Anolis sagrei: one gene and its partners. The protein of the gene in region 3 purifies or fractionates together with the protein of the main gene of each other region. This does not show direct contact. Links are inferred from orthologs where the notes say so. Each region holds a gene or a part of one and is shown on either strand. Other genes may lie near its edges. The genes, in order: ATMIN, CEP78, UBR5 and DYRK2.

Region 1 (8,190 bases), on a different chromosome or scaffold from region 3:
TCAGGCAAGTTTTGAAACTGCAAGGCCATTAAATGCTAATCAAGGTGGCCAATTACAACATTCACACTTGCCTCCAACAGACAATTCTCCCACCCTGAACATTATTTCACAGACATATAAACCCCACTTGCCTAGTTTCCAACAGACCTCACAGACCAATGGAACAGCTTCGGATTATGATTCTGGCTGGCATGATTTTAATAACTTGTTTTAAATTGTGTTGTTTTAATGTTTGGTTTTAATAAAATGTTAATTGTATTGTATGTTTATGTTTTGGCCTCAAATTGCTGAATAATTTGTAATGCCGCTATGAGTCCCCTTCAGGGTAGAGAAGAGCGGGATATAAATGAAGTTAAATAAGATCTTGGAGTCCTCATGGACAACAAGTTAAACATGAGCCAACAATGTTATGTGGCGACAAAAAAAGCCAATGGGAGTTTGGCCTGCATCAATAGGAGCATAGTGTCTAGATCTAGGGAAGTCATGCTCCTCAAGCTCTATTCTGCCTTGGTTAGACCACACCTGGAATATTGTGTCAAATTCTGGGCACCACAATTGAAGAGAGATATTGACAAGCAGGAATGTGTCCAGAGGAGAGTGACTAAAATGATCAAGGGTCTGGAGAACAACCCCTATGAGGAGCGGCTTAAGGTGCTGGGCATGTTTAGCCTGAAGAAGAGAAGGCTGAGAGGAGATATGATAGCCATATATAAATATGTGAGAGGAAGCCACAGGGAGGAGGGAGCAAGCTTTTTTTCTGCTTCCCTGGAGACTAGGACACAATGGAACAATGGCTTCAAACTACAAGAAAGGAGATTCCATCTGAACATGAGGAAGAACTTCCTGACTGTGAGAGCCGTTCAGCAGTGGAACTCTCTGTCCCAGAGTGTGGTGGGGGTTCCTTCTTTGGAAGCTTTTAAACAGGCTGGATGGTCATCTGTCAGGGGTGATTTGAATCCAATATTCCTGCTTCTTGGCAGAATGGGGTGGACTGGATGGCCCATGAGGTCTCTTCCAACTCTGTGATTCTATGATTCTATGAAGCCGCTGGGTGAGATCATCCGGAGTTTTGATTTGGATTATGGCACTACTAGAATATGGGATCCAATAAGTTTTTGCCAACATAATGTGAACCTTAACAGGAAAAAAGTATTTTCTTATAACATTTAAATGACTTGTGTGGGTCTGGTGAACATAACTGCCTTTAAAGTGATCAAGGGTCTGGAGAACAAGCCCTATGAGGAGCGGCTTAAAGAGCTGGGCATGTTTAGCCTAAAGAAGAGAAGGCTGAGAGGAGACATGATGAGGGCCATGGATAAATATGTGAGGGGAAGTCATAGGGAGGAGGGAGGAAGCTTGTTTTCTGCTGCTCTGGAGACTAGGATGCAATGACACTCAACTGGTGCTGAAGATGGAAGGCCGACCGGACTCTGTACCCGATTGTTTCCATCAGTGCCTCGAGGCTGTTACTGGATGGCTGTGTGCCAGCAGGTTGAGGGTGAATCCAGCAAAGACGGAGATCCTATGGCTGGGTCGACCGGGCAGTGGGGACATCCAACTGCCTACCCTGGGTGGTGAGGCGCTACGCCCGTTATCATTGGTAAAGAGTCTGGGAGTCCTTTTGGACCCTCTGCTGACGATGGAGGCCCAGGTCTCCGCCGTTAGCAGAACCGCCTTTTCTCATCTGCGGCAGGCTAGACGGCTGGCTCTTTACCTGTCCAGGGACGACCTAGCTATGGTGATCCAGGCCACGGTTATCTCAAGACTGGACTACTGTAACGCCCTCTACATTGGCCTTTCTCTGTCGGTGATCCGGAAGCTCAAGTTGGTACAAAATGCAGCTGCTCGGCTTCTTGCGGGAATTCCAATGAGATGCCACATAACCACAATCTTACTGCAGCTGCATTGGTTACCAATTGAGCACCGGATCACTTTCAAAGTGATGGTACTCACCTTTAAGGCCTTGCATGGTCTGAGGCCGATGTACCTGATGGACCGCCTCACCCCCTACCAACCCCAGAGATCCCTCCGTTCTGAGGACCAAGATTTGTTGGAAATTCCCAGTGTCAAGACCTTGCGTCTAATGGCAACCAGACGCAGAGCCTTCACAGCAGTGGCACCATCACTCTGGAATACTCTGCCACCTGAAGTCCGTGCCTTGCGGGACTTACCAGCTTTCCGCAGGGCATGTAAGACATACCTGTTTCGACAGGCTTTTAATGTTTGATACTGCTGTTTTTAAATTGTTTTAAATTGCTTTTAACTTTTGTTAGATTTTAGCCATTCTTGTAAGCCGCTCTGAACCCCAGGGGAGTGGGGGCATAGAAGTCCGAATAATAAATAAATAAATGGAACTATGGCTTCAAACTACAAGCGAGGAGATTCCATCTGAACAGGAGGAAGAACTTCCTGATTGTGAGAGCCGATCAGCTGTGGAACTCTCTGTCTTGGAATGTGGTGGAGGCTCCTCTTTTGGAGGCTTTAAACAGAGGCTGGATGGCTATCTGTCGGAGTGGGATTTTCCTGCTTCTTGGCGGAATGGGGTTGGATTGGATGGCCCATTTCTATGATTCTATGAGAGAGTGTGGAGTCCCCGGTGGCGCAATGGGTTAAAGCACTGAGCTGCTGAGCTTATTGATCGAAAGGTCGCAGGTTCGATTCCAGGGAGCGGTGTGAGCTTCTGCTGTCAGCCCTAGCTTCTGCCAACCTAGGAGTTCGAAAACATGCAAATGTGAGTAGATCAATAGGTACCGCTCTGGCGGGAAGGTAACAGCGCTCCATGCAGTCATGCCGGCCACATGACCTTGGAGGTGTCTACGGACAACGCTGGCTCTTCGGCTTAGAAATGGAGATGAGCACCACACCGCAGAGTCAGACATGACTGGACTTAATGTCAGGGGACTACCTTTACCTTTACCTTACGAGAGGGTGAAAACTCGAGGGCAGGAGGAGGAGAACCACCGGCAGGCAGGCAGGCAGGTCCTGAGGGGAGGCCTGGCGGGGAGTGCTGAGGAGAAGGCCCGCAGGCCGGGCTCACCTGAGGAGGAGGCACCAGGCGGTGGGCCTTGCTGAGGTGCATGCTCAGCGCCGGCGGGTTGGGCAGCACCTTCCCGCAGCCGGGCACCGAGCAGGGGATGTGGCTCCGCACCGCCCGGGAGAGCTCCGCCACCGAGGGCCTCACCAGCTCCCACGGCGAGGTGGAGGCAGGCGAGGGGGATGATGGCGAGGAAAGAAGCCCTCCGCGGCGAGGAGGCCGCCCGAGCCCCACGCCCCTCCGCGACAGGCACCGCGCCGCCGCCATCTTGCGCCCGGAAGTGCCCGGAACCAAGCGTCGCAGCGCTTCCGGTGCGAGCCGGCGGCAGGGACAACCCATCATGCATATTCATGAGCCGGCGCCTTCCTTAGGGCACGCCCCCTGGCGGTCTCCACTAGCAAGACTAGCTTCCTCTTTTGCCCAGGACAAAGCCACGCCCAGATGTGTTGGAATAACATTCCTAAAGTATCAATATAAGCACATCAAAAATACTGATATTCTGATATTGTGCTGTGCTAATAATATATATTGTATACACATATAATATTGATAATGTAATGTAATGCAATATAATACCAATAATTCCGGCAAGGAAGACTCCAGCAAGACATGGAGCGAGAGTTGCCAGGTGTACAAGCTGGGTTTAGAAAAGGCAGAGGAACGAGAGACCAGATTGCCAATATCCCGATGCTGGATAATGGAGAAAGGCAGGGAGTTTCAGAAAAACATCTATTTCTGCTTCATTGACTAAAGCCTTTGACTGTGTGGATCATAATAAACTGTGGCAAGTTCTTGGTGGGATGGGCATACCAAGCCACCTTGTCTCTCCTGAGGAATCTGTACAAGGACCAAGTAACAACAGTCAGAACTGACTACGGAACAGACTGGTTCAAGATTGGGAAAGGCGTACGGCAGGGTTGTATACTCTCCCCTGACCTATTCAACTTGTATGCAGAACACATCATGCGATGTGCGGGGCTTGATGAATGCAAAGCTGGGGTAAAAATTGCTGGAAGAAACATCAACAACCTCATATGCAGATGACACCACTCTGATGGCCGAAAGCGAGGAGGAGCTGAGGAGCCTTCTAATCAAGGTGAAAGAAGAAAGCGCAAAAGCTGGGTTGCAGCTAAACATAAAAAAAACCCAAGATTATGGCAACAAGAATGATTGACAACTGGAAAATAGAGGGAGAAAACGTGGAGGCCGTGACAGACTTTGTATTTCTAGGCGCAAAGATGACTGCAGATGCAGACTGTGGCCAGGAAATCAGAAGATGCTTCCTTCTTGGAAGGAGAGCAATGTCCAATCTCGATAAAATAGTAAAGAGCAGAGACATCACACTGGCAATAAAGATCCGCAAAGTCAAAGCAATGGTATTCCCTGTAGTAACCTACGGATGTGAGAGCTGGACCTTAGGGAAGGCTGAGCGAAGGAAGAGAGATGCTTTTGAGCTGTGGTGCTGGAGGAAAGTTCTGAGAGTGCCTTGGACTGTGAGAAGATCCAACCACTCCATCCTCCAGGAAATAAAGCCCGACTGCTCACTGGAGGGAAGGATACTAGAGACAAAGTTGAAGTACTTTGGCCACATCATGAGGAGACAGCAAAGCCTAGAGAAGACAATTATGCTGGGGAAAGTGGAAGGTAAAAGGAAAAGGGGCCGACCAAGGGCAAGATGGATGGATGCCATCCTTGAAGTGAGTGGACTGACCTGGGGGTGGTGACGGCCGACAGGGAGCTCTGGCGTGGGCTGGTCCATGAGGTCACGAAGAGTTGGAGACAAATGAACGAATGAACAACAATAATATATATTGTATACACATATAATATTGATAATGTAATGTAATGCAATATAATACCAATAATGATAAAAGTAAAGTAATAAAGGGAGTAAAAAAAATAAATGTAATAATAATAATAATAGAGTAAAATAATGGCAGGGACCTAACAGAAGCTGAAATGATCAAAAGAAGGTGGCGAGACTATACAGAAGGTCTGTATAGGAAGGATAATAATATCGAGGATAGTTCTGACGGTGTGGTGAGTGAATTAGAACCAGACATCCTGAGGAGTGAGGTTGAATGGGCCTTAAGAAGCATTGCTAACAACAAGGCAGCAGGAGATGACGGGATCCCAGCTGAACTGTTTACAATCTTGGAAGAAGATGCTGTCAAAGTGATGCATGCCATATGCCAGCAAATATGGAAAACACAAGAAAGGCCATCAGACTGGAAAAAATCAACTTATATCCTCATACCAAAAAGGGGAATGCTAAAGACTGCTCAAACTTCCATACAGTGGCCCTTATTTCTCATGCCAGTAAAGGAATGCTCAAGATCCTGCAAGGAAGACTCCAGCAAGACATGGAGAGAGAGTTGCCAGATGGACAAGCTGGGTTTAGAAAAGAGAAGAGGAACAAGAAACCAGATTGCCAATATCCGCTGGATAATGGAGAAAGGCAGGGACTTTCAGAAAAATCTATTTCTGTTCTATTGACAAATCTAAAGCCTTTGACTGTGTGGATCATAATAAATTGTGGCAAGTTCTTGGTGGGATGGGCATACCAAATCTCTCCTCTCTGGGAGAGGAGCCGATTTTTTGTTGTTACTAAATTCCAATCATGAGACAAACGCTGGGTTCAATGACACTTGCATACCTGTTCAAGGACATCTTATTTTCCATGCATTCTTTGGAAGAATATCAACATGAAATAATGATGACGCAGAATAAACTTTACAAACAAAAAAATTATTTATATTTACAGATGAGAAGATATATACAAGTTGATCAATTTTCTGAAAAGTCAAATGTATACATGACTAAAAACCGCAATGCAGTAATGAAAAATAGGCAGTCACATTGCAATGTCTTGCTGTTATAATTTTAAAGTACATATAATGTAATAAATAGATAAAATGAACACCTTTCACTAAAATCCAAGTCTATTTACGTGGCTGAATAAAATCCCCTTTTGTCCATTATTTTTGTATGGTTAAATATAACACCAGGGAAATTTATTTATTTATTGGGTTGCTATGAGTTTTCTGGACTGTATGGCCATGTTCCAGAAGCATTCTCTCCTGGTGTTTCGCCCACATCTATGGTAAGCATCCTCAGAGGTTGTGAGGCCTGTTGGAAACTAGGCAAGGGAGGTTTATATATCTGTGGAATCTGGTAGAAAGAATTCTTGTCTGTTGAAGGCAAGTATGAACATTGCAAGAGTTCTTTCTCCCACACTGGGCATTCCATTTGCATAGTTTCTAACAGATTAGACAACCTCTGAGGATGCCTGCTAAGGATGTGGATGAAATGTCAGGAGAGAATGCTTCTGAACATGGCCATTAGCCCGGAAAACTCACAGCAACCTAGTGATTCGAGCCATGAAAGCCTCCGACAACACAATTATAGGTTGCTGTGAGTTTTCCAGGCTGTCTGGCCATATTCCAGTAGCATTACTCTACTGTGACATGGCCACAAAGCCCAGAAAACTCACAGCAACCCAGTGATTCCAGCCTTGAAAGCCTTCGACAACACAATTATAGGTTGCTGTGAGTTTTCCAGGCTGTCTGGTCATATTCCAGTAGCATTCTCTCCTGATGTTTCACCCACATCTATGTCATTTATTTATGTCATGTTTAGCCCATCTTTCTCAACCGAGGGGACTCAAGGCAGCATACAGCTCCGGCAAGAATTCAAAGCCAGTAAAAACCAACAGTAAAAACATATCCCACAGTTAAAACGTTTTAATATTTTACTCTCCAAAATATATAACCTTTCCAACCTTTAGGTATCAAATTTGTATTAATTAAAGGCATGCATCTCTTCAAAGTGCACGGGACACTACAGCGATGCCAACATATTCATTCTTTGCACTGTGTGCTGAATATGGGTACGTATTTTTGTCCAAAAATAGTCGCTTTTTCAGACGCCGATAACATCTCAGCGGTAAAAATATTATCCCAGATTCAGCACAATTATATAACCCACACTCTGAATTCTGCATGTCATATTTATTTAATTTGATGCAAAACTGCAGACTTAACTGTGGGAAAAAAAGATTTATAATGGTTAGAGATAGTCAAGAATGCCCATAAAAAAAAGAAGAGGGAAAGGAAAACAACAATTTGAAGAAAAAGAAATACGTAATGCTATTTGGACAAGCTGGAATGTTGCAAAATTAGAAATAAGTGATTCCTGAAAAGGTTAAATATAATGGAATAATGTTAATGAAACATTTTATTGTGACTTCAAACATCTTTTGGTATATGCAAATTGGGTTTTTTAAAAAACATAAAACAATCAGAAAGCTCAAATCGCAAGAAATGCTTTAAGGCCTCTTCCCATTCTTATGGGGTTATTCTTTATTATTGTAAAATCATGATGTTCCCGGTGGCACAATGGGTTAAACCCTTGAGTTGGCAGGACGGAAGTCCGACAGGTTGGAGGTTCGAAACTGGGCACAGTGCGGATGAGCTCCCTCTGCCAGCTCCAGCTCCCATGTGGGGACCTGAGAGAAGCCTCTCACAAGGATGGTAAAACATAAAAACACCCTGGCCTCCTCTGGGCAATGTCCTTGCAGATAGTCAATTCTCTCACACCAGAAGCCACTTGCAGTTTCTCAAGTCACTCCTGACACGGAAAAATAAATGATATGTGTAGACAAATTTTGAAATTCTCCTGAGTGTGAAGATCTATTCCCTGCCTTGCAAAGAGGTTCTTGAAAAAAAATTAAATTAGGATTTTTGCATATGATATGGAGGAGGGGGAAGCAACTGGGGACACTACTACTATTATCTAGATTGAAACAGTTTTCCCTAAAACATAGTAACCAATAATTCTAAGTAAGAATAGTTTGCATGGATTTTGCCTTAACGAGACTGTTTTATTGTTTTAATGATTGTTTTATTGCTTGTGGATGTACTGTTTTTAACTTGATTTATGTCTAATTGTAGTGTATAATTGTAATTGTTTGTACTGGCATTGAATTTTGCCATTACTTATGTGTAAACCACTTAGAGTCCCCCTCTGAGTGAGAAAAGCGGTATACAAATACTGTAAATAATAATAATAAATAAAATGTCTTGCATTCTAGTGAATGGTAAAGTTTGGTATACTTATTTTGCACAAGTTGCCATTTAAATATAGATCTAAACTCA
Region 2 (7,455 bases), on a different chromosome or scaffold from region 3:
TCTTTCACTACCTGCCAAAGAAGAACAGCAAATTAAATGACATTTAATGAAAGTACACAGATAACATTCAATTCATATCAGACCCCTCCCCGCAGCACCAACTGCCGCTCTGGGCCAGAGTGAAGAGAGAGGGGGGCAGAAGACAGTTCCACCTTGTCTCCTGTGCTATTCTAATAATATAATCTAATCTAATGTAATATAATATAATACATTGTATATACATATAATATTTATAATATTGTAATGTAATGCAATATAATAATATATTACAATTATATATTTATATTATATGCAATATTACTAATAATCTATATAAATAAAAATGTAATGTTTATTTGTGGGATTAACATAACTCAAAAACCACTGGATGAATTGCCGCCAAATTTGGACCCAATACACCTACTAACCCAAGGAGTGACCATCACTCAAAAAATGGTTTTGTCATTTGGGAGTTGTAGTTGCTGGGATTTATAATCAACCTACAATCAAAGAGCATTCTAAACTCTACCAATGATGAAACTGAACCCAACGTGGCACATAGGACTCCCATGACCAACATAAAACACTAGAAGGGTTTGGTGGGCATTGACCTTGAGTTTGGGAGTTGTAGTTCACCTACATCCAGAGAGCACTATGGACTCAAACAATGATGGATCTGGGCCAAACTTGGCATGAATACTCAATATGCACAAATATGAACACAGATGGGCTTTGGGGAAATAGACCTTGACATTTGGGAGTTGTAGTTACTGGGAGTTATAGTTCACCTACAATCAATGAGCATTCTGAACCCCACAAATGACAGAATTTGGGCAAACTTCCCACACAGAACCTCCATGATCAACAGAAAATACTTAAAGTCATCCAGTCCAACTCCCTTCACCTGGGCAAGAAAACATAATCAAAGCCCGTAAGAAGTCAATTTTTAAAAAAAAAACACATTACAACGCATGCACAAAAACACATATATACATATACACACACACATATATACACATGCACAATACATATACACAGACTGGGCCACAGCAATGCGTGGCAGGGGATGCCTAGTATTACAATATAATGGTATAGTACAATATAGTAATATTTAATACTGATATTGTACCATGCTAATAATATACTATATTGTATGTATATATATATATCTTGTAAGCTGCTCTAAGTCCCCTTCGGGGTGAGAAGGGTGGCATATAAATGTTGCAAATAAATAAAATAAAATAAAATTTTTACCGTGGCAACCCATCATGCCATTTCATCTTTGCAATCAGATTCATTTTCAGCTGGATCGATTGGCTGTTTGAAGCAAGTTTGGATGATGCAATTAACCAGCTTGATGAGCATTGAGTAGCCTTGCAGTTGCAAAGCCTGGTCGTTGTTGCTTCAAACAGACAAGGATTCTATCTCTCATCTAGGACATTCCACAGACATATACCCCACTTGCCTCATTTCCAACAGACCTCTGAAGATTTTTTTTCATGTCAGAAGTGACTTGAGAAACTGCAAGTCACTTCTGGTGTGAGAGAATTGGCTGTCTGCAAGGACGTTGTCCAGAGGATGCCTGGATGTTTTGATGTTTTACCATCTTTGAGGGACGCTTCTCTCATGTCCCCGCATGGGGAGCTGGAGCTGACAGAGGGAGTTCATTCCTACTCTTCCCTGATTTAAACCTCCAACCTGTCCGTCTTCCCTGCTGCCGGCACAAGGGTTTAACCCACTGCAACACCAGGGGTTCATACTTCTGAAGATGCCAACAACAAATGCAGGCCAAACATAAGGAGAGAATGCTACTGAAACGTGGCCCTACAGCCTGGAAAACTCACAGTAACCCAGTGATTTGGCCATGAAAGCCTTCGACAACAAAGATAGCATGATGCTTTGCCATTGAAAGAGTCCCTACCTGGGTCTGCATGTCCCTGATGGTGCAAGCTCTTGATGGCGATCGAAGTCAAGGTCTTGTTGTGCCTGAGCGCAGCCAGGAGAGGCAACCAGTCTGCACCTTTGATACGGTCTGCGTTTATATCAATCACGCCTTCAGGCTTTTTGGCCTGCACGGACACGAGGGGAGCGCAGCCTTGAACTGCACACAGGTGCTCATAATGGGAGTAAAAGTCCAGGCTGCACTGCCTCCTTATTTGGACTGATTCGATCATTTCTGGAGAGTCAACACTAAAAAGGAGGAAAACAAACACAAATATATCATTAATGTCATTTTAACTACTACTACTACACACATATAATAAGTTTGAATAGGTTGCTGTACGTTTTTCGGGATGTTATGACCATGTTCCAGAAGCATTCTCTCCTAACATTTTGCCTGAATCTATGTTTGAGGCAACATTCACACTTGCCTCAAACAGACAAAGGTTCTTTCTCCCACCCTGGACATTATTCCACAGATATATAAACCCAATTTTCCTAGTTTCCCAACAAACCTCACAACCTCTGAAGATGCCTGCGATGGATGTGGGCGAAATGTCAGGAGAGAATGCTGCTGGAACATGGCCAAACAGCCCAGAAAACTCACAGCAACCCAGTGATTCCAGGCATGACATCCTTAGACAATACAATAAGGTTGAATTCTTATCCTCTCTCCTCAAAGCTTTAAATTAAATTAAATTAATTAAAATGAATAGATAAAGCCTTTAAATGCATAGAGTAATAACATAAAACCATTGCAAACATATATATTAAAAGAATCATAGAATCAAAGAGTTGGAAGAGACCTCATGGGCCATCCAGTCCAACCCCCTGCCAAGAAGCAAGAACATTGCATTCAAATCACCCCTGACAGATGGCCATCCAGCCTCTGCTTAAAAGCTTCCAAAGAAGGAGCCTCCACCACACTCCGGGGCAGAGAGTTCCACTGCTGAACGGCTCTCACAGTCAGGAAGTTCTTCCTCATGTTCAGATGGAATCTCCTTTCTTGTAGTTTGAAGCCATTGTTCCTTGTCCTAGTCTCCAGGGAAGCAGTAAACAAGCTTGCTCCCTCCTCCCTGTGGCTTCCTCTCACATATTTATACATGGCTATCATATCCCCTCTCAGCCTTCTCTTCTTCAGGCTAAACATGCCCAGCTCCTTTAGCCGCTCCTCATAGGGCTTGTTCTCCAGACCTTTTATCATTTTAGTCACTCTCCTCTGGACACATTCCAAAGAGATAGGCATTTAAACCACGCTGAAGCCATTCAAAGCCAATACAATGCTACTCCTATTTGGTTACTTACAAGCAGGAGGCCAAAACATCCAAGGCTGGCTTAGGCTCCTCCCCCTCGCGCGTGTGGTAACCGTTGCCTTGGTTCCCCAACTGCCCTTTTCCTACTCCCACCCTCCCACGTGACGCGGAGAAGAGGCTCTGATTGGAAGAGAGGGAGAGGAAGGGGGCGGGACCACCAAAACACGCCCCTTTCCTCTCTACAGACACTTTCATTCTTGCTCTTTTCCTCACACATAACCCCGCCCCTTTTTGTAGTCCTCCCACGTGATTCATAAGCGAAGCTTCTGATTGGTCGGTCCGTACAAACGCGGCCCTTTTCTTCCCCCTCCCATTCCCTTGTTTCCTCAGACATAACTCCACCCCCTTGCCGCTACCGTCGTCACGTGATGCGTTGAAAGGTGCCACATGATTGGCCATCCCGTAAAACCACGCCCCCTTTGAATCTAACGCTCCTCCCCTTATTTTGCCATTCTTAGTTAATTTAAATAGATGGCGGGAAAGCTTGCATTTCACAAATTCCTTATTATAAAGGGATATATATTTGAATATATAATATATAAGAATATATAATATATAAGAAAGTAGGGAAGCCAAACATTCTATATTTGGGGCTGAGGACTTTTCACAGAGACAAGAACCATTCTTATTTATTTTATTTATAATATTCATAATATTTTGGCTTTCCTACTATATATATGCGTGTGTGTGTATATATTAAAGTAGGGATTCCAAATATGCTATGTTTTGGGCTGAGGACTTTTCATAGAAACAGGAAAAAATCTTATTTATTTTATCTATTATTATTATTATTATTATTATTATTAACTTTATTTGTACCCCGCTAGCATCTCCCGAGGGACTCGATGCGGCTTACACAGGCCGAAGCCTCAGAACACAATACAGTAAAAACATAACACAACAATAAACAAAGCAAATCAAAATAGTTAAGCAGAATAACAACAGTGACAATACATCAGGATACTTTAAAACTGGGCCGGCCAGAGCAATGGGGTACAGGGTTAAAAGTGCTGAAATGGCAGGAGGCACGTAGGGTTAAAATAGTCTGGTGTGCAGCAATATTAATTGTACTAAAGTGCTTCTAGGACTTGGGATGGGGAATTCCTAATCTGAGATTATAATATTTTTATAATATTATTTATAATATTGTGTGTGTGTATGTATGTATATGTATGTGTGTGTGTGTGTGTGTGTGTATATATATATATATATATATATATATATATATATGGGGACTTTTCACAGAGACAAGAACCATTCTTATTTATTTTATTTATAATATTATTTATAATATTTTGACTTTCCTACTATATATATTTGTGTGTGTGTATTAAAGTAGGGATGTCAAATATTCTATATTTTGGGCTGAGGACTTGTCACAGAGACAGGAAAAATTCTTATTTATTTTATTTATAGTTATAATTATAGAGAGAGAGAGAGAAAAAGTAGGAAAGCCAAAAATTCTATATTTTGGGCTGATGACTTTTCAGAAACAGGAATAATTCTTATTTATTTTATTTATAACATATTATTTAACACATCAAATCACCTCTCAAAGAAAGATTCCCCCAGGCACTTCCAAGACATTAAATGCTAATGAAGGTGGTCAATTGAAACATTCACACCTAGCTCCAGCAGACAAAAGTCCTTTGTCCCACCCTGGTCATTCCACAGATATATAATCCCATTTTCCTACTTCCAACAGACCTCACTACCTCTGAGGATGCTTGCCAGAGATGCAGGCGAAACGTCAGGAGAAAATGCCTCTAGAACATGGCCATATAGCCTGGAAAACCTACAACAACCCAAACATTCTATATTATGGGCTGAGGACTTTTCACAGAGACAGGAAAAATTCTTATTTATTTTATTTATAGCATATTATTTAATATTTACTATAATTAATAAGCTATATTTATTTGCGGCGCCGCAATAGGTTAACTCAGGCATGGGCGAACTTGAGCCCTCCAGGTGTTTTGGACTTCAACTCCCACAATTCCTGCTAGGTTGGTAGGGAAGCTAGTGCTGACAGAGGGGAGCTTCTCTCATGTCTCTGCATGAGGAGCTGGAACTGACAAAGTGAGCTCACTCAAGCTCTTCCTATATTCGACCTCTGATCTGTCAGTCTTCAGTCCTGCCAGCACAAGGGTTTAATCCATTGCGCCACCAAACGCATCATTGCCCAAACACGAATCAAGGAACATGAAAGACACTGCAGACTGATTCAAATAGAGGAGTCAACCACAGCAGAGCGCCTGATGAACCAACCTGGACACAGCATCTTATTTGAGAACTCAGAAATGCTGGACCACTCTCACACCACCATGTCACAGAGAAGCCATTGAAATCCACAAGCATGTGGACAATTTCAACAGAAAGGAGGAAACCATGAAAATGAAAAAAAATCTGGCTAGCACTATTTAAAAAATCCTCTAGAATTAGGACAGTAAATAAAGCACAACACTCAAAAAGCAGGGGAATTCTAGAAAAGAATCAATCAGGGCAAGTTTTTTTTCATGTCAGGAGCAACTTGAGAAACTGCAAGTCGCTTCTGGTGTAAGAAAATTGGCCATCTGCAAGGACTTTGCCTAGGGGGACACCCGGATTTTTACGATCCTTGTGAGAGGCTCCTCTCATGTCCCCACATAGAGAGCTGGAGCTGACAGAGGGAGCTCATCCATGCTCTCTCTGGATTCGAACCTGTAATCTGGCAGATGGTATTTGTGGCACAAGTTCCAATGAATCATCTGAGCAACCGTGTTATGCCTCTGCTTGTAGTCTGTCTGCGCAATCTTCTTGCAGCAGCTGAGAATGTGATCTATTGTTTCATCTGCTTCCTTGCAGAGTCTACATTTGGGATCTGTTGTCGACTTCAATTCTGGCTTTGATGGCATTGGTTCGAATGGCTTGTTCTTGGGCTTCCAGAATCAGGCCCTTCTTTGTCTCCTTTTTCAAAGTTCCATTTGTGAGCCACAGCCATGTTTTTTCTTTGTCAATTTGGCTCTCAATTTTTGCCAGAAACTGTCCATGGAGTTTTGTTTTCTTCCCTCCCTTCTCTTTTCCTTTCCTTTCATGGAGTTATTATTATTATTATTATTAGGAATATTTATATCCCACAAAGACCCACAGTATTTTTTTTAAAAAAATCAGTTATACAGATATTTAAATATACAGATATTTAAATAGAATTAAAACATACAATTAAAATGACTGGAAGCACTGAAAAACTTGTTCTTTGCAGATAAATCGAGACCCATTTGTGATTTTGCTGAAGTGGTGTCAAAACTGCATTAATTCTATAGCGTAGAAACACTCAATGTCTTCAAAAGCAGGCCACAAATTTCAAACATAAAAACAGAAGAAATCTATACTAATTTCATGTAAAATCTCTTTTTCTGATTATCCAAAAATACCCATTTGAAACAAAGGGAACATAACAGTTGAAACACTTCCACGGTTTATTGAAATATGGCTGCGAGAATAATTTTTTTCCATAGTTTTTTGGGTTTTACTCATGATTATTGGGATAAAATGTATTATTACGAGGCGGACATCTCTCCACTGTGCTTTTACATGAAAGGGGGGGGGGAGAATGTCAAGTAAACATATTGAGTCTTTTCTGTACAAATACACAATATTTACAACACACATTTACAACATGGATGTATACATTATTTTTTATATATATATAAAAAGAAGTATCTTTGAAATATCACTTGGCACCACACTATACAACAGGCATGGGCCAACTTGGGCCTTCCAGGTGTTTTGGACTACAACTCCCACAATTCCTAACAGCTGGTAGGCTGTTAGGAATTGTGGGAGTTGTAGTCCAAAACACCTGGAGGGCCCAAGTTGGCCCATGCCTGTTCTATAGTCTTTCACTATAACAAATGAGTGGTTATAGCATAAGCAACAGATATAACATTTAGGGACAAAACTAAATCATTTTCTTAGTCCGGACTAGTTTTCCTCAATGGGTCAACTTCAGGAGAAATTAACCCAAAGGATTCCAGCCACATTGAGACGACTTCACTTACTTTACTATGATTCTGGAGTCTTTATTATGCTGACCACTGGATGGAATATATTCTTAATCCATTTAGGGGAAAAAGGCATTATCATGCATACTTGAATGGATATGTTGTTAAATACCACGACGCACAACTAGCATGCCGGATTAATTACACCTGGCATAGCAAAGCCAAGGACTAAAGTAGGT
Region 3 (7,699 bases):
ATCCCATACAGAACTGGCAAGAAATTCCATATATTCTCGGGCTGAAAAAGCCCCCCCCCCCCAGTTTATACTGAAGTCAAAGTTATTTATTATTTTGATGGGTTATTATAACTATTTTATTACATTTATTATTTTACTCTATTTATTAATACATTTACATTACTTTATTATTACATTTATTATTACATTTATTATTTTACTCCAATTATTATTATGTTTACATTGTTTTACTCTAATATTATATTTATTATTTTACTTCATTATTGTTATTACATTTATTATTTTACTCTATTAGTTATTACACTGGTTCTCAACCTATGGGTCCCCAGATGTTTTGGACTTCCAACTCCCAGAAATCCTAATGGCTGGGATTTCAGGGAGTTGTAGACCAAAACACCAGGGGATCTACAGATTGAGAACCACTGAGTTATTATTACATTTATTGTTTTATTCTATTATTACTGTTATTATTACATTTCCATTATTTTACTCTATTTTTATTTTATTACATTTATTATTTTACTTTCTTTATGAATACTGGAAGATTGGTTTTCCCCTGACATTAAGTCCAGTCGTGTCCGACTCTGGGAGCTGGTGCTCATCTCCATTTCTAACCCGAAGTGCTGGCGTTGTCTAAGGTCATGTGGCCAGCATGACTGCATGGAACACCATTACCTTCCTGCTGGAGCAGTACCTATTGATATACTAACATTTGCATGTTTTCAAACTGCAAGGCTGGCAGAAGTGAGGGCTAACAGTGGTAGCTCACCCTGTTCCCCAGATTTGAACCACCAACCTTTCAGTCAGCAAGTTCAGCAGCTCAGCGGTTTAACCCACTGTGCCACCAAGGGGCCCATATAAGGACACATATGTTACTTATTTCGTTCTTATGCATAATGCCTCTTTATGCAAGAATGTTGATTAGATGTCAAATGAACCTCAAAATTAACATTACAAATTAAAAGGACTTTGTTATATTTAGAGTTGAATCTCTTGGGATTATCTGTATTTATTTAGCATGTATTTATAGATGCAACACTTCACTTACAGTCGTATCAAATACACAGCGAGCATCAGAAATAGCATGTTTGTACACTTGAGGTTCCTTGCAAGCGTTTGAAACATTAAATCTAAAAAAAGAGAAAAGAGACAAATTTAAATTATTACCAAGATCATCATTCTAGTTTATTAAGAAATTTGGAGGCAATTCCAAGACACTTTGTAAAAATATACAAGGCATGACATACTGTATCACTGCTAGGTTGGCAGAAGTTGGGATACATAAGCATACTTACATTGAAGATTAGAATAATGGATTAATCAAGAGTTGGACGGTTTTATCAGAGTATGATGCTGGGGAAAATGGAAGGAAAAAGGAAGAGGGGCCAACCAAGGGCAAGATGGATGGATGGTATCCTTGAACTGACTGGATTGACCTTGAAGAAGCTGGGGGTGCTGACGACCAACAGGGAGCTCTGGCGTGGACTGGTCCATGAAGTCACGAAGTCGGAAACGACTGAATGAATGAACAACCAACATCTTTGTTTTATGCAGATATTCAAAAATATTTAACCTACTGATGCCTCAATTAATGTAATTTTATTGGTATCGATTATTATTTTGAAATTTACCAGTAGTTGCTGCATTTCCCACCCTCGTGTTATGCTCGAGTCAAGATGTCTTCCCAGTTTTTTGCAGCAAAATTACATGCCCCAGCTTATATTCAGGCTGGCTTATACTTGAGTATATACGGTTAAGAGAAAAATGGTTTTTGGGACACCTAAAAGACAAGAGTTAAGTTTAGTAATCATGAGTCAAGAATGCAGGACATCCCTCCCCCAGCACCAACTGCTGCTCTGGGTCGGATTGAAGAGAGGGGAGACCAGGGGACAGCACCAGGGCCGTAGCCAGAAAGAAAATTCGGGAGGGGTCGAAATTTTCGGGGGGCGGGTTGAAACCTGCCTCCTAGCTCACACTGAACCAAAGAGCACAGCAGGGGGCAGAGCAGCCTGCAGCTCCACCCCTGTCAACCACCTCCACCAAATCTGGCCTCCTTAATGAGAGCATTCAACACGCCCTCCCCCCCCCCCCCCCAACTTGGTTGCTTCGCTACATCGGCTATTCCTGCAAGTAATGACAGTGTGAATAAATTGTCAATATTTGCTTGAGATAGTGCTTGAAGTTCTGGAGGGACTCTTAATCTTTTGTATCTCATAGACTTAGCATGGGGATTTGGTTAACCAGTTAAAATTCATGAGTAAACCAGTTTTTTTTAAAAAATCTGAAACATTTTGGGGGGGGGGAGAACCCCTAACCCACCCACCCCCCTCGCTACAGGCCTGGACAGCACCATCGTCTCCCGCATATGCCATCAGCTGGAGACCCCTCCCCCCAGCACCAACTGCCACTCTGGCCCGGATTGAAGGGGGGGGGGGCAAGGGACAGTTCCACCTTGTCCCCTGTGCTATTCTAATAATATATATTGTATATACATATAATATTTATAATATTATAATGTAATGCAATATAATACTACTAATAATATATTATAATTATTTATTAGATGCACTTATTGACCGCCATTCTCAGCCCATTACTAATAATATGGTATAATTGATATACTACAATATAACAATATTTAAAACTGATACTGTACTATGCTAATAATATATGGTATGTATATATGCCTTGTAAGCCGCTCCGAGTCCCCTTTGGGATGCGAGGGGCTGCATATAAATGTCGTAAATAAATAAATATCTGTATAGACCAGGAATGGGCAAAGTTGGACCCTCCAGGTGCTTTGGACTTCAACTCCCACAATTCCTAACAGCCTCAGGCCTCTTCCTGAAGAAGAGGGAGTTGAAGTACAAAACATCTGGTGGCCCAACTTTGCCCATGCCTAATATAGATGTACAATATCGTCCTTTGTATTTGTATATCAGGCAATAAGGCAGTGGTTCTCAACCTTCCTAATGCCGTGACCCCTTGATACAGTTCCTCATATTGTGGTGACCCCCAACCATAATATTATTTTCATTGTTACTTCATAAATGTAATTTTGCTAGTTATGAATTGTAATGTAAATATCTGATATGCAGGATGTATTTTCGTTCACTGGACCAAATTTGGCACAAATACCCAATATGCCCAAATTTGAATACTAGTGGGGTTGGGGGGAGGGACTGGTTTTATCATTTGAGAGTTGTACTTGCTGGGATTTATAGTTCACCTACAATGAAAGAGCATTCTGATCTCCACCAATGATGGAACTGAACCAATCTTGGCACACAGGACTCCCATGAGCAACATAAAACACTAGCAGGGTTTGGTGGGCATGGATCTTGAGTTTGGGAGTCGTAGTTTATCTACATCTGTGGACTCAAACAATGATGATCAGGATCAAATTTGGCACAAATACTCAACATGTCCAAGTGTGAACACTAGTGGAGTTTGGGGGAAATAGACCTTGGCATTTGGGAGTTGTAGTTGCTAGGATTTATAGTTCACCTACAATCAAAGAGCATTCTGAACCCCACCAACAATAGAATTAGACCTAACTTTCCACACGTAATCCAGATGACCAAGAAAAAATACTGTGTTTTCTGATGGTCTTCAGCGACCCCTTGGACACCCTCTCGCAGCCCCCCCAGGGGTCTCGACCCCCAGGTTGCAAAACACTGCATTAAGGCTTTAGGCCCACAAAGCAGGGGTGATGGCAACACACTCACACACAGACCCGTTTTCTATGACAGACCAAATATACAATTAAAGTAAATATATAATCCAGAGAATCCAATGATAGATTCTTGAATGAATAGTACTAGTTTTGGAAATAAATACAAATAGAAAGTGGAAAAGTAAAAAATAATAATAATCCAATATTCAGGAAAAATAGGACATCAAAGGCCTCACAGAAGGCCTGAAAAACGTTGGAAAATGGCGTCCTTCACTTTCCTCAGGCTCTTAATTCTTATTTTTTGCTTTCTATTTCCCAAAGTGTTTCTTTTCGTCCTAGCAACGCAGAGGGCGAAGGCAGAAAAGTGAAGCGCCTCCTCAGAAGGGGCGGCGCCTCAAACAAACGGAGAGAAAAGGAAGGAAGGAAGGAAAGAAAGAGGGAAAGAAAGAAGGAAGGAAGGAGGGACATCCTCCCTCCGTCGCCTCCGCGCCCTACACTCTGAGGCGGCGCGCGCACCTCAGCCGAAAGAGGAAAAAAAAGTCTCCCTCCCCCTCCCTTTTCCGGATGACGCCATCGCGTCGAGCCCGAACCAATCCGGATTGGGTTCACATCGCCGTTGCCGCCTTTCCAGTGAGAAGCCAGAACGCCATTGGCTGCGGGGCGCGCGGAGGGCGAGGGAGACGTAACCCCGCCCATTCCTCTCTCTCTCTCCCCGGCGCAAGGAGGGAAGTTAAGATGGCGGATCTTGTGAGAGTCGGGTGCTGAGCTGCGGGCCCGTTCCCCGCCGCGCTCTCCGTTTCTCTCTCTCGTGTGTTTTTCTCCCCCGTCACGAGGCCCTGAGGGAGGCCCTGAAGGAGCCTTTTCTCTCGCCCAGTTGTCTCTCTCACCCCCCGCCAACCCCATTTCCTCCTCCTTGTGCGCCCGGCCCGCCTTCCCTCGAGTGAAGGAGGAGGGAGAGAGGGGAACATGACCTCGATCCACTTCGTGGTGCACCCGCTCCCGGGCACCGAGGACCAGCTCAATGACCGGTGAGGAAACATGGAGACGAGGGAGGAGGCCTGGTCGCCCTCCCCCCCCCTTTATCACCTCGGGAAAGAAAGGGGGGGGAGAGGAAGGGGAGGGGCTTCGCCGTGTGCTTGGGAGGAGGGAGGGGGCCGCCTGGGAAGGAAACCATCTCTCTATATGTATATGGGATGATAGATACTAGATCTGGTATGGGCAAACTTTGGCCCTCCAGGTGTTTTGGAAATTCCTATGGGCAAACCATCTCTCTCTGTATATGTGTATATGGAGATAGGTGGATACTAGATCTGCTATGGGCAACTTCGGCCCTCCAGGTGTTTGGGAAATTCCTATGGGCAAACTATATCTCTCTGTATACATGTATATGGAAATAGATGCACATAACTATAATAGAGACACATATCTCTCTGTATATGTGTCTGGGGATAGATACTAGATCAGGTATGGGCTAACTTCGGCCCTCCAGGTGTTTAGAAATTTCCTATGGGCAAAACCATATCTTTAAGTATATGTGTAAGAGGATAGATACTTGATCTGGTATGGGCAAACTTCGGCCCTCCAAGTGTTTTGGAAATTCCTATGGGCAAACTATATCTCTCTGTATATATGTATATGGAAATAGATACACATATCTATAATAGAGACATATATCTCTGTATATGTGTATGGGGATAGATACTAGATCAGGTATGGGCCAACTTCGGCCCTCCAAGTGTTTTGGAAATTCCTAGGGCAAGCCATATCTCTCTGTATATATATGTATATGGAAATAGATACACATATCTATAATAGAGACACATATCTCTCTGTATATGTGTATGGGGATAGATACTAGATCAGGTATGGGCCAACTTCGGCCCTCTAGGTGTTTGGGAAATTCCTATGGGCAAACTATATCTATCTGTTTATATGTATATGGAAATAGAGACACATATCTATAATAGAGACACATATCTCTCTGTATATGTGTATGGGGATAGATACTATATCTGCTATGGGCCAACTTCGGCCTTCCAGGTGTTTGGGAAATTCCTATGGGCAAACTATATCTCTCTGTATATATGTATATGGAAATAGATGCACATAACTATAATAGAGACACATATCTCTCTGTATATGTGTATGGTGATAGATACTAGATCAGATATGGGCCAACTGCAGCCTTCCAGGTGTTGGGAAATTCCTATGGGCAAACCATATCTCTCTGTATATGTGTATGGGAATAGATACTAAATCAGGTATGGGCAAACTTCGGCCCTCCAGGTGTTTTGGACATGGGCAAACCATATATTTCTGTACATGTGTCGGGATAGATACTAGATCAGGTATGGGTTAACTTCAGCCCTTCAGGTGTTTTGGAAATTCCTATGAGCAAACTATATCTCTCTGTATATATGTATGGCGATAGATACTAGATCAGGTATGGGCCAACTTCGGCCCTCCAGATGTTTGGGAAATTCCTATGGGTAAACCATATCTCTCTGTATATGTGTATGGCGATAGATACTAGATCAGGTATGGGCAAACTTCGGTCCTCCAGGTGTTTTGGAAATTGCTATGGGCAAACTATATTTCTCTGTATATTTGTAAATGAAAATAAATAGGTGGATATTAGATGTGCTATGGGCAAACTTCGGCCTTCCAGGTGCTTTGGAAATTTCTATGGGCAACCCATCTGTCTTTGTATATGTGTATAGAGATAGATACTAGATCAGATATGGGCCAACTTCAGCCTTCCAGGTGTTTGGGAAATTCCTATGGGCAAACCATATCTCTCTGTATATGTATAGGGATAGATACTACATCAGGAATGGGCCAACTTCAGCCTTCCAGGTGTTTTGGAAATTTCTATGGGCAAACTATATCTCTCTGAATATGTGTATGGAGATAAGTACCAGATCGGGTATGGGCCAACTTCGGCCCTCCAGGTGTTTAGGAATTTCCTATGGGCAAACCATATCTTTCTTTATATATGTTTGGGGAGAGATACTAGATCAGGTATGGGCCAACTTTGGTCCTCCAGGTGTTTTGGAAATTCTTATGGGGAAACCGTATCTCTCTGTATATGTGTATGGCGATATATACTAGATCAGGTATTGGCAAACTTCGGCCCTCCAGGTGCCATGGGAAATCCCTATGGGCAAACCATATTTTTCTGTATATGTATATGGAGATAGATACTAGATCAGGTATGGGCAAGCTTCAGCCTTCCAGGTGTTTTGGACATTCCTATCGGCAAATCATATCTCTCTGTATATATGCGTATGGAGATAGATACTAGATCAGGTATGGGCCAACTTCAGCCCTCCAGGTGTTTTGGAAATTCCTAAGGGCAAACTTTGGTTCTCCAGGTGTTTTGGAAATTCCTATGGGCAAACCATATCTCTCTGTATATGTATATGGGGATAGATACTAGATCAGGTATGGGCAAACTTCGGCCCTCCAGGTGTTTGGGAAATTCCTATGGACAAACCATATCTCTCTGTATATGTGTATGGCGAATATACTAGATCAGGTATGGGCAAACTTCAGCCCTCCAGGTGTTTTGGAAATTCCTATGGGCAAACCATATCTTTCTGTATATGTATATGGGAATAGATACTAGATCAGGTATGGGCAAACTTCGGCCCTCCAGGTGTTTGGGAAATTCCTATGGACAAACCATACTTCTCTGTATATGTGTATGGAGATAGATAGGTGGATACTAGATCTGGCATGGGCAAACTTTGGCCCTCCAGGTGTTTTGGAAATTCTTATGGGCAAACCATCTCTCTCTGTATATGTGTGTGGACATAGATAGGTAGATCAGGTATAGGCAAACTTCGGCCATCCAGGTGTTTTGGAAATTCCTAAGGTGAAACAGGGAAGGCTTAGCCCTGCTCCCTCCTGATGGGGATTTCCATCTGGGTACTTGCGCGCCTGTAAAATGCGGAACTGCATAATTGTACATATACATACACACATATATTAAATGCTCAGTTAACCAGAACTCTCAAGTAA
Region 4 (8,030 bases), on a different chromosome or scaffold from region 3:
TAACAAAGGATTCCCCAAGGCAGGAAGCAGCCAGGCTTTGAGGTTGCAAGGCCATTCAATGCTAATCAAGGTGGCCAATTGTAACATTCACACTCACCTCCAACAGACAAGAGTTATTTCTTCCACCCTGGACATTCCACAGATATATAAACCCCACTTGCCTCATTACCAACACACCCCTCAACCTCTGAGGATGCCTGCCATAGATGTGGGTGAAATGTCAGGAGAGAATGCTTCTGAAACATGGCCATACAGCCTGGAAAACTCACAGCAACCCAATGCTTGAAACATACATTGACTTATTCTCTCACATTATTCTGACTACACTCTGAGCTTTTGTTATGGTGAAGAATAAAGTTAGAACTCTTGACTATTTCTTTAGGGGTTCCTTATTCTGCATAGTTACCAGTCTTGCCTCTTACTTATCTAGACTGAGACAGCTGCTTTTTCCTTCTTTCTTCACCAGCACATCCTTATCTCCCTCTCCCTTCAGCAATCCTATAAATGGACCACTCCTATCTGCCACATATACAGTAAGTTTAAAAGAAACATGCTCACTCAATAGTTAGCATTTGGCAAATTGCTGGAGTAAGTGTTGTACTGCTTACACTTTTATTCATTTCCACAATGGGAATATTTGTGTTTTATTAAGAGTATGTTTTGTTAAAGGAACAAGATCTCCCTCTTTACATTTCTTTTGCTGTTGCCATGTGCCTTCAAGTCATGTCTGACCTAGGGCTACCCTAAGGCAAAACTATCACAGGGCTTTCTTGACACAATTTGTCCAGAAGAGCTTTGCCATTGTTTTCCTCCGAGGCCAAGAGTGTGTGACATACCTAATGTGGGTTTTTGTGGTTTATAGGAGATTCACGTCTTGCTCTCCAGAGTCATAAGGTGCATCTACAGCAGGAATGGGCAAACTTTAGCCCTCCAGGTGTTTTGGGATTCAACTCCCACAATTCCTGAGGGCCGAAATTTGCACCTACCTGATCTACAGTGTAGAATGAATGCAATTTCATGTGGTGGCACAATGATCAGGACTGCTAACGGAAAGGTTGGTGGTTTGAATCCAGGGAGCAGGGTGAGCTCCTGACTGTCAGCTCCAGCTCCTCATGCCGGGACATGAGAGAAACTTCCCACAGGATGGTAAAACATCCTGACGTCCCCTGGGCAACATACTTGCAGACAGCAAATTCTCTCACACCAGAAGTGATTTGCAGTTTCTCAAAAATGAAAAAAAAACCTTTAACTGCCGTGGCTCAATGCTATGGATTCACAGAAGATGGCAGTTTTCAAGGGCTTTAGACATCTCTTCCAAAGAGCACTTGATGGGAGAGATCAAACTGCATCAAACTGTAATCCGCAGCATTCCATAGCATTACCTCCAGGAAGTTAAAGTGGTGTCAAACTGTCTTCATATTACAGTTTAGAGAGATATACCTTATGACTCTGGAGAACAGGGCTCCAGTCTCAAATCATATTGGAAACCCACCTGGAGACATTGGGCAAGCCACACTCTTGACTTCTGAGGAGGGTCGCAAGAAACCCCTTCTGGACAACTCTTGCCAAGAAGACATTGGGCATGTGGATGTCCCACACCCCAACATTCAAACCACTACACTATGCTGCCTCCAAAGCTTTCCTTTGCCCTCTTTCGAAAGGGAAAGCACAAACCCAAAGAAGGACAAGAGATAACTTATCATCCTCCCTGTTCCCTGCTTATCTCACACTAAAGTTTTTTTTCTCTTTCTCTCTAGAGTTTCAGAAGGAAGTTCTTCCTTCTGCCTTTCCAGTGCATTGTTTATAAACAACTCTCCGCCCACGAAGAGAGGGAGGGATTCCTTCAAGTAGCAGGCAAAGAAGGGGGGTGAGAGGTTTTCTCCTTTGGGCTCTGGAGAAGGAACACAGAGCAAGATTTCCCCATAGAGAAAGACACTTCTACAGCCTTAGAAGAGGTCACTTAGGTTGGGCAATGGGCATCCTCTCAGTGTGGCTTCAAAAATAACCTGCTAAGAGTCCACCTTGCATCTCAGTTACAAGATTATGATAGAATAATAATGATAGAATGAAGCTTCCCTTGATTTTTCCAGGGTCTATCCTAGGCATGGGCAAACTTAGGCCCTCTGGGTGTTTTGGACTTAAGCGGCTGAGGGGGAAAAGAAAGGGGCCTGAGGCTGTTAGGAATGGTGGGAGTTGAAGTCCAAAACACCCAGAGGGCCCAAGTTGGCCCATGCCTGGTCTAGCCTTTTTTCTCCAGAGGAAAATCCAGTCCATCTTTCCCCACTCTGTCCTAGACCTGACCTTCATCAGAGATGTTTCATCTTTAGAGATGTGCTCACCAAGGCTTCCTCACCAGATGTTCACCAATGCTTCCTCTTCATCCTGGAAAGAAGTGATGGGTGGAGTGCCACAGGGTTCCCTCCTGGGCCCGGTCCTGTTCAACATCTTTATTAATGACTTGGATTTTTTTTTTGTCGTGTCAGGAGCGACTTGAGAAACTGCAAGTTGCTTCTGGTGTGAGAGAATAGACCATCTGCAAGGACGTTGCCCAGGGGACGCCCAGATGTTTTTGATGTTTTATCATCCTTGTAGGAGGCTTCTCTCATGTCCCCGCATGAGGAGCTGGAGCTGATAGAGGGAGCTCCTCTGCGCTTTCCCCTGATTCGAACATGCGACCTGTTGGTCTTCAGTCCTGTCGGCACAGGGGTTTAACCCACTGCGCCACTGGGGGCTCCTAATGACTTAGATGAAGGGTTGGAAGTCATGATCATCAAGTTTGCAGACGACACCAAATTGGGAGAGAGAGCCAATACTCCAGAAGACAGGAGCGGAATTCACAAGGATCTTAATAGATTAGAGAGATGGGCCAAAACTAACAAAATGAAGTTCAACAGTGACAAATGCAAAATACTCCACTTAGACAGAAAAAAATGAAATGCAAAGAATGGAGGATGTGTGACTCGATAGCAGTATGTGTGAAAAAGATATTGGAGTCCTCATGGGCAACAAGTTAAACATGAGCCAACAATGTCATGTGGTGGCAAAAAAAAAAAAAAGGCCAATGAGATTTTGGCCTGTATAAATAGGAATCTAGTGTCTGTATCCAAGGAAGTAATGCTACCCCTCTATTCTGCCTTGGCTAGATCACACCTGGAATACTGTGTCCAATTCTGGGCACTGCAATAGAAGGGAGATGTTGACAATCTGGAATGTGTCCAGAGGAGGGTGACTAAAATGATCATGAGTCTGGAGAACAAACCCTATGAGGAGCGGCTTAAAGAGTTGGGCATGTTTAGCCTGCAGAAGATAAGGCTGAGAGGAGACATGATAGCCATGTATAAATATGTGAGGGGAAGTCATAGGGAGGAGGGAGCAAGCTTGTTTTCAGCTGCCCTGGAGACTAGGATGCAGAAACATGGCTTCAAACTACAGAAAAGAACATTCCACTGAACATTAGGGAGAACTGTGAGAGCTGTCGAAGGCTTTCATGGCTGGAATCACTAGGTTCTTGTGGGTTTTTTCGGGCTATATGGCCATGTTCTAGAGGCATTTCTCCTGACGTTTCGCCTGCATCTATAGCAAGCATCCTCTGAGGATGCTTGCCATAGATGCAGGCGAAACGTCAGGAGAAATGCCTCTAGAACATGGCCATATAGCCCGAAAAAACCCACAAGAACCAACTGTGAGAGCTGTTCAGCAGTGGAACTCTCTGCCTTGGAGTGTGGTGGAGGCTCCTTCTTTGGAGGCTTTTAAGCAGAGACTGGATGGCCATCTGTCGGGGGTGCTTTGAATGCGATTTTCCTGCTTCTAGGCAAGGGGTTGGACTGGATGGCCCATGAGGTCTCTCCCAACTCTATGATTCTATGATGTGGTAACCCGCCTCGAGCCACGAGGAGATTTGGGCAGGAAATACTACTATTGTTAGGATGCTGATTGCGTCTCCTCGCCCCCTCCTTCTATGGCCTCGCGCCCCATTTGGAAGAGCGGCTCCTTTTCTCTTTCAGGACGTGCCCCACGTTATTTGGCCTCCCTACAATCTGAAATCTTTTGTTTCTCGTCGACGGCCGCTCTCTCTTCTCACAAAGTGAAGGCGCCGCGGGGGGGAAAGGAGAAAGGGCCTGAGGCGAGCACCCTCTTCCCCCTCTTTTGCGTGGCCCGGGGCGAGCAGTAGCCACTGCCTACGTGTGTGGAGGAGGAGGAGAAGGAGGAGGAGGAAGGGAAGAGGGAGGGGCTGCACATCGCCGCCTCCCTCGCCTTTCAATTCAATCCAGGGCCGGGGAGGGGCTGCCACTCTGTCAGATCCAAGCCAGTGAGTGAGGAGAGAGTTCGGGGAAAGTGTGAGGGGCGGGGCCAAGGGCGAGGGGCGGGGCTTGGCTTGCTAGCCCCTCTCCTTGGGCTCGAGGCGGTCGCTCCGCCTGTGTTTGCCTCTTTGAAGGGGAGAGTGTGTCGCGCCGGGGAGGGGCTGCCATTCTGTCAGATCCGAGCCAGGGAGTGAGAGGAGAGGGTTCGGGGAAAGTGTGAGGGGCGGGGCTAAGGGCGAGGGGGCGGGGCTTAACTTGGCTGCCCCCCTCCCTCCTTGGGCTCGAGGCGGTCGCTCCGCCTGTGTTTGTCTCTCTGAAGGGGAGGAGAACGAGAAGGAAGGCAAGAGGGAGGGAGGGAGGTGGAAGAAGGGAGCCCCTCATGCTGCCGCCCCCCTCCCCTTCCTCCCGCGAAGGCACCGGGGGACCCTGGACGCTGCCCGGGTGATGCCTTTGGTGCCTCCGGAGCAAGGAGGAGAGGAGGAGGAGGAGGAGGAGGAGGAGAAGGGGAAGGAGGAGAGAGCGGAGGCCGAGGCCGGGCGGGGCGCGCGGGGCTGCTTCTGCCCGGCGGCGGGCCCGGGCTCTTGGGGGACGGATGCCGCGGAGGGGCCGGGGCCTGGGGGCTCGCGAGGCAACGCCGGCGCCCAGCGCGGAGGAGAGGAGCGCCAGGAGGAAGAGAAGGAGGCGGAGGAGGAGGAGGCGCAGGCGGAGCAGCAGCAGCAGCAGCAGCAGCCCTGAGATGCGCTCCCCAGTCCTTCCCCACCAGCGGCCATGTTAACCACCAGGAAACCTGCTGCCGGGGCTGGAGGAGCCGCTGCTGCTGGTGAGATTGAGCGAGGGGTTGGACAGGGCAGCGGGGCCCAGCCCCCAGTGGGAAAGGCCCTTGGAGGAAGGCCCGGCGCCGCAGGTCCAAGGGCAACCCTACAGCCCAGAAGATCCAGGCAGAAAATCCCACAATATCTGAGCGTGGGCTTAGGGCCCTTCCACGCAGCCCTATATCCCAGAAGATCAAGGCGGAAGATCTGAATGTGGACTTAGGGCCCTTCCACACAGCCCCAGAAGATCAAGGCAGAAAATGCCACAATATCTGAGTGCGGACTCAGGGCCCTTCCACACAGCCCTATATCCCAGAAGATCAAGGCAGAAGATCTGAATGTGGACTTAGGGCCCTTCCACACAGCCCCAGAATATCAAGGCAGAACATCCCACAATATCTGCTTTGAACTGAGTCCACATTCAGATAATATGGGATTTATGCCTTGATCTTCTGGGAGATAGGGCTGTGTGGAAGGGCCCTCAGATAACCCAGTTCAAAGCAGATATTGTGGCATTTTCTGCCTTGTTCTTCTGGGCTATAGGGCTGTGTGGAAGGGCCCTAAGTCCACACTCCGATATTGTGGCATTTTCTGCCTTGATCTTCTGGGCTATAGGGCTGTGTGGAAGGGCTCCTAGAGGACAGCGACGCTTCTATAGTCGGCGTTGCAGGGTCATCTCTTCCCCCCTTGAGGGAAACGGGGACAGGCAAAAACCCACTTGGAGTGGGGTTCCTGGGCTGGCCTTGGATCGGGCTCTGCGTGAAGACCCTTCCCTGCCATCGAGGCCCCAGACCAAGCGGAGAAAGGAGGGGGGAGGGAGGAGGGGACTGCACGCCACTCAAATCCCCCCTGGCTTCTCCCTTCTGCCTCTGCGGCGTGTGGGTTGACCGTGGATGAAGGAAGGTTGACCCGAGGGGAAGGGATCGCCCCTCCCTCCCCTCGCGAGCACCCCATCCCCCACCCCTCCGCAATAGAGGAGGGGGCGGGGGGGCTCCCTCTGTTGTGTTTCCCCCCCACTTCCTCTTCCTGGACCCTCTCAGGCTCTCCTCTTTAGCCTCTCTCTTCTGGCTTCTTCTCCCTCCTCAGGCAGCAGGGCAGTAGCAGGAGGAGGAGGAGGAGGGGAGGGCGCCCTCCAGTGCCAGCCTTCGCCAGGCCTCGGCGCCGGAGGGGCCTCCCGGGCCGGACCGGGCACCGCTGGACCGCCTTCGCCCATCGCTTTGCCGCCGCTCAAGCCCAGCAGCGCTGCCCACACGGTGAGGAAGAGCGAGGCCGGGATTTAAGGGTGGGGGCTTTGGAGGGATGGGTATATATATATGATCTGCTCAGTGTCAACCTTGGACTCTCCCTCGCTCTATCTCTCTCTCCCTCCCCTCCATCCCCATCCCCAGAAGATTTGAATGCCAGCTTCTCATAAGCCCCCCCCAACTGCCTCCCCCAATTGCTTCTGCTCTCCCCCCCCCCGTGCCAACCTTGGACCCTCCTCCCTCCCATCCATCCCCAGAAGACTTGAATGCCAGCCACTCATAAGCCCCCCCCCCTCCACTGCCTCCCCCAATTGCTTCTGCTCCTCCTTCTCCTCCTTTCCTGGGTATTAATAGCAAGCAATCTGCAAGGTACAGTCAGGCTGCCAGCCAGCCTGTCTGAGTGGGAGGTGGGCATGAGCTTGCTTTCCAGGGCATGGAGGAGCCCCATTAATTCCCCGCCACCGCCGGCATGTCTCAACACGTCCTAGTCCTCTTCCCTGTCTGGTTTCAACAGGTACTTGTGATTTCGTTGTAGAGGGGCAGAAGGGTAAGAGGGGAGAAGCAAGGTCTGGAGGCGCTCTGGAGACTGATGAACGCTCTGGGCCACTTTGGCAAGGAGAGATGGAGCCCTCCAGTCAGGTCACCTGTGTGAGCCATGCAAGGGTGTTGCATCGCTCACATCACAACTGGAGGAGGCTTTTGCATCTTTCTCTCTGAGGCTCATTCAAGATTTCAGTGCTGGGTGATGGATTTGAAACAAAGGAAAATAAAAAGGGGCCTGCTCAGGAGGTTGACGAGGTGAGAAAGAACGGTCCTTGTGGCTGGACTGAAAAGCCACTGCTGGTTTGGTCATCTTTCTGGTGGCTGTCATTTTCTCAACAAGTTTTTGGTACAGTCTAGTCAATGCAGTGTGGTTATAAGAGTGTTTCTGGAAGATGTAGTTAGTCGTTTTATGACAAAGGATTCACCTCTCAGAACTAAAAGAAAAGTTCTTATTTTGGGTTGCTGTGAATTTTACGGGATGTATGGCCATGTTCCAGAAGCATTCTCTCCTGATGTTTCACCCACATTGATGGCAGGCATCCTCAGAGGTTGAGGGATCTGTTGGAAACAAGGCAACTGGGGTTTATATATCTGTTGAATGTCCAGGGTGGGAGAAAGAACTCTTGTCTGCTTGAGGCAAGTGTGAATGTTGGAATTGGCCACCTTGATTAGCTTTGAATGGCCTTGCAGCTTCAAAGTCTGGCAAGTTGCTGTCGGGGGGGGGGGATTCTTTGTTGGGAGACGTTAGCTGGCCTTGATTGATTCTTGTCTGGATTTCCCTGCTTTTTGGGTGTTGCTCTTTCTTTACTGTCCTGATTTTAGACTAGTTGTTAGACCACCCCAGACCTGATGATCCATTTCCAGTGGAACAGCCAGAGACAGTAAAGTAGGCTGGAGTGTGACACTGCCCTTGTAAACACCATTCACTAGGGAAACAGGTGTTGGCATTATTTGCAAGGCTGTGGTTTCTCACATAATCTTCAAGTTGCAGCTAATCTGCTACAAGGGAGGGAACTTCTCAAGCATGATGATCTATTTATGGAAGGTGGAGAAGGGCAGAATATATTTCTAGGTGGGTAGAAATAAGGTCTGTTGAGGTTTTATGCATTGATTCTAGCTGTTGCATCAAA

Evidence for each region.
Region 1: the proteins of UBR5 (region 3) and ATMIN purify together in Homo sapiens (affinity purification with western blotting; 3 studies listed by BioGRID). This does not show direct contact. The link is inferred for Anolis sagrei from reciprocal best matches to the Homo sapiens genes UBR5 and ATMIN.
Region 2: the proteins of UBR5 (region 3) and CEP78 purify together in Homo sapiens (affinity purification with western blotting; 3 studies listed by BioGRID, with this or other methods). This does not show direct contact. The link is inferred for Anolis sagrei from reciprocal best matches to the Homo sapiens genes UBR5 and CEP78.
Region 4: the proteins of UBR5 (region 3) and DYRK2 purify together in Homo sapiens (affinity purification with western blotting; 3 studies listed by BioGRID and IntAct, with this or other methods). This does not show direct contact. The link is inferred for Anolis sagrei from reciprocal best matches to the Homo sapiens genes UBR5 and DYRK2.

What each region holds. Positions count from the first base shown.
Region 1 is NC_090028.1:11,180,169-11,188,358, forward strand, and holds the start of ATMIN (ATM interactor), read right to left. Parts: upstream 3,315-8,190; 5' UTR 3,302-3,314; coding exon 3,038-3,301; intron 1-3,037. UniProt on the Homo sapiens protein: Transcription factor. Plays a crucial role in cell survival and RAD51 foci formation in response to methylating DNA damage. Involved in regulating the activity of ATM in the absence of DNA damage. May play a role in stabilizing ATM.
Region 2 is NC_090025.1:190,094,353-190,101,807, forward strand, and holds the start of CEP78 (centrosomal protein of 78 kDa), read right to left. Parts: upstream 3,350-7,455; 5' UTR 3,226-3,349; intron 2,170-3,225; 5' UTR 2,154-2,169; coding exon 1,901-2,153; intron 12-1,900; coding exon 1-11. UniProt on the Homo sapiens protein: Centriole wall protein that localizes to mature centrioles and regulates centriole and cilia biogenesis. Involved in centrosome duplication: required for efficient PLK4 centrosomal localization and PLK4-induced overduplication of centrioles.
Region 3 is NC_090024.1:30,051,095-30,058,793, forward strand, and holds the start of UBR5 (E3 ubiquitin-protein ligase UBR5), read left to right. Parts: upstream 1-4,364; 5' UTR 4,365-4,642; coding exon 4,643-4,704; intron 4,705-7,699. UniProt on the Homo sapiens protein: E3 ubiquitin-protein ligase involved in different protein quality control pathways in the cytoplasm and nucleus. Mainly acts as a ubiquitin chain elongator that extends pre-ubiquitinated substrates.
Region 4 is NC_090025.1:142,756,402-142,764,431, forward strand, and holds the start of DYRK2 (dual specificity tyrosine-phosphorylation-regulated kinase 2), read left to right. Parts: upstream 1-4,950; 5' UTR 4,951-5,069; coding exon 5,070-5,121; intron 5,122-6,199; coding exon 6,200-6,366; intron 6,367-6,747; exon of another isoform or gene 6,748-6,826; coding exon of another isoform or gene 6,827-6,871; intron 6,872-8,030. UniProt on the Homo sapiens protein: Serine/threonine-protein kinase involved in the regulation of the mitotic cell cycle, cell proliferation, apoptosis, organization of the cytoskeleton and neurite outgrowth. Functions in part via its role in ubiquitin-dependent proteasomal protein degradation.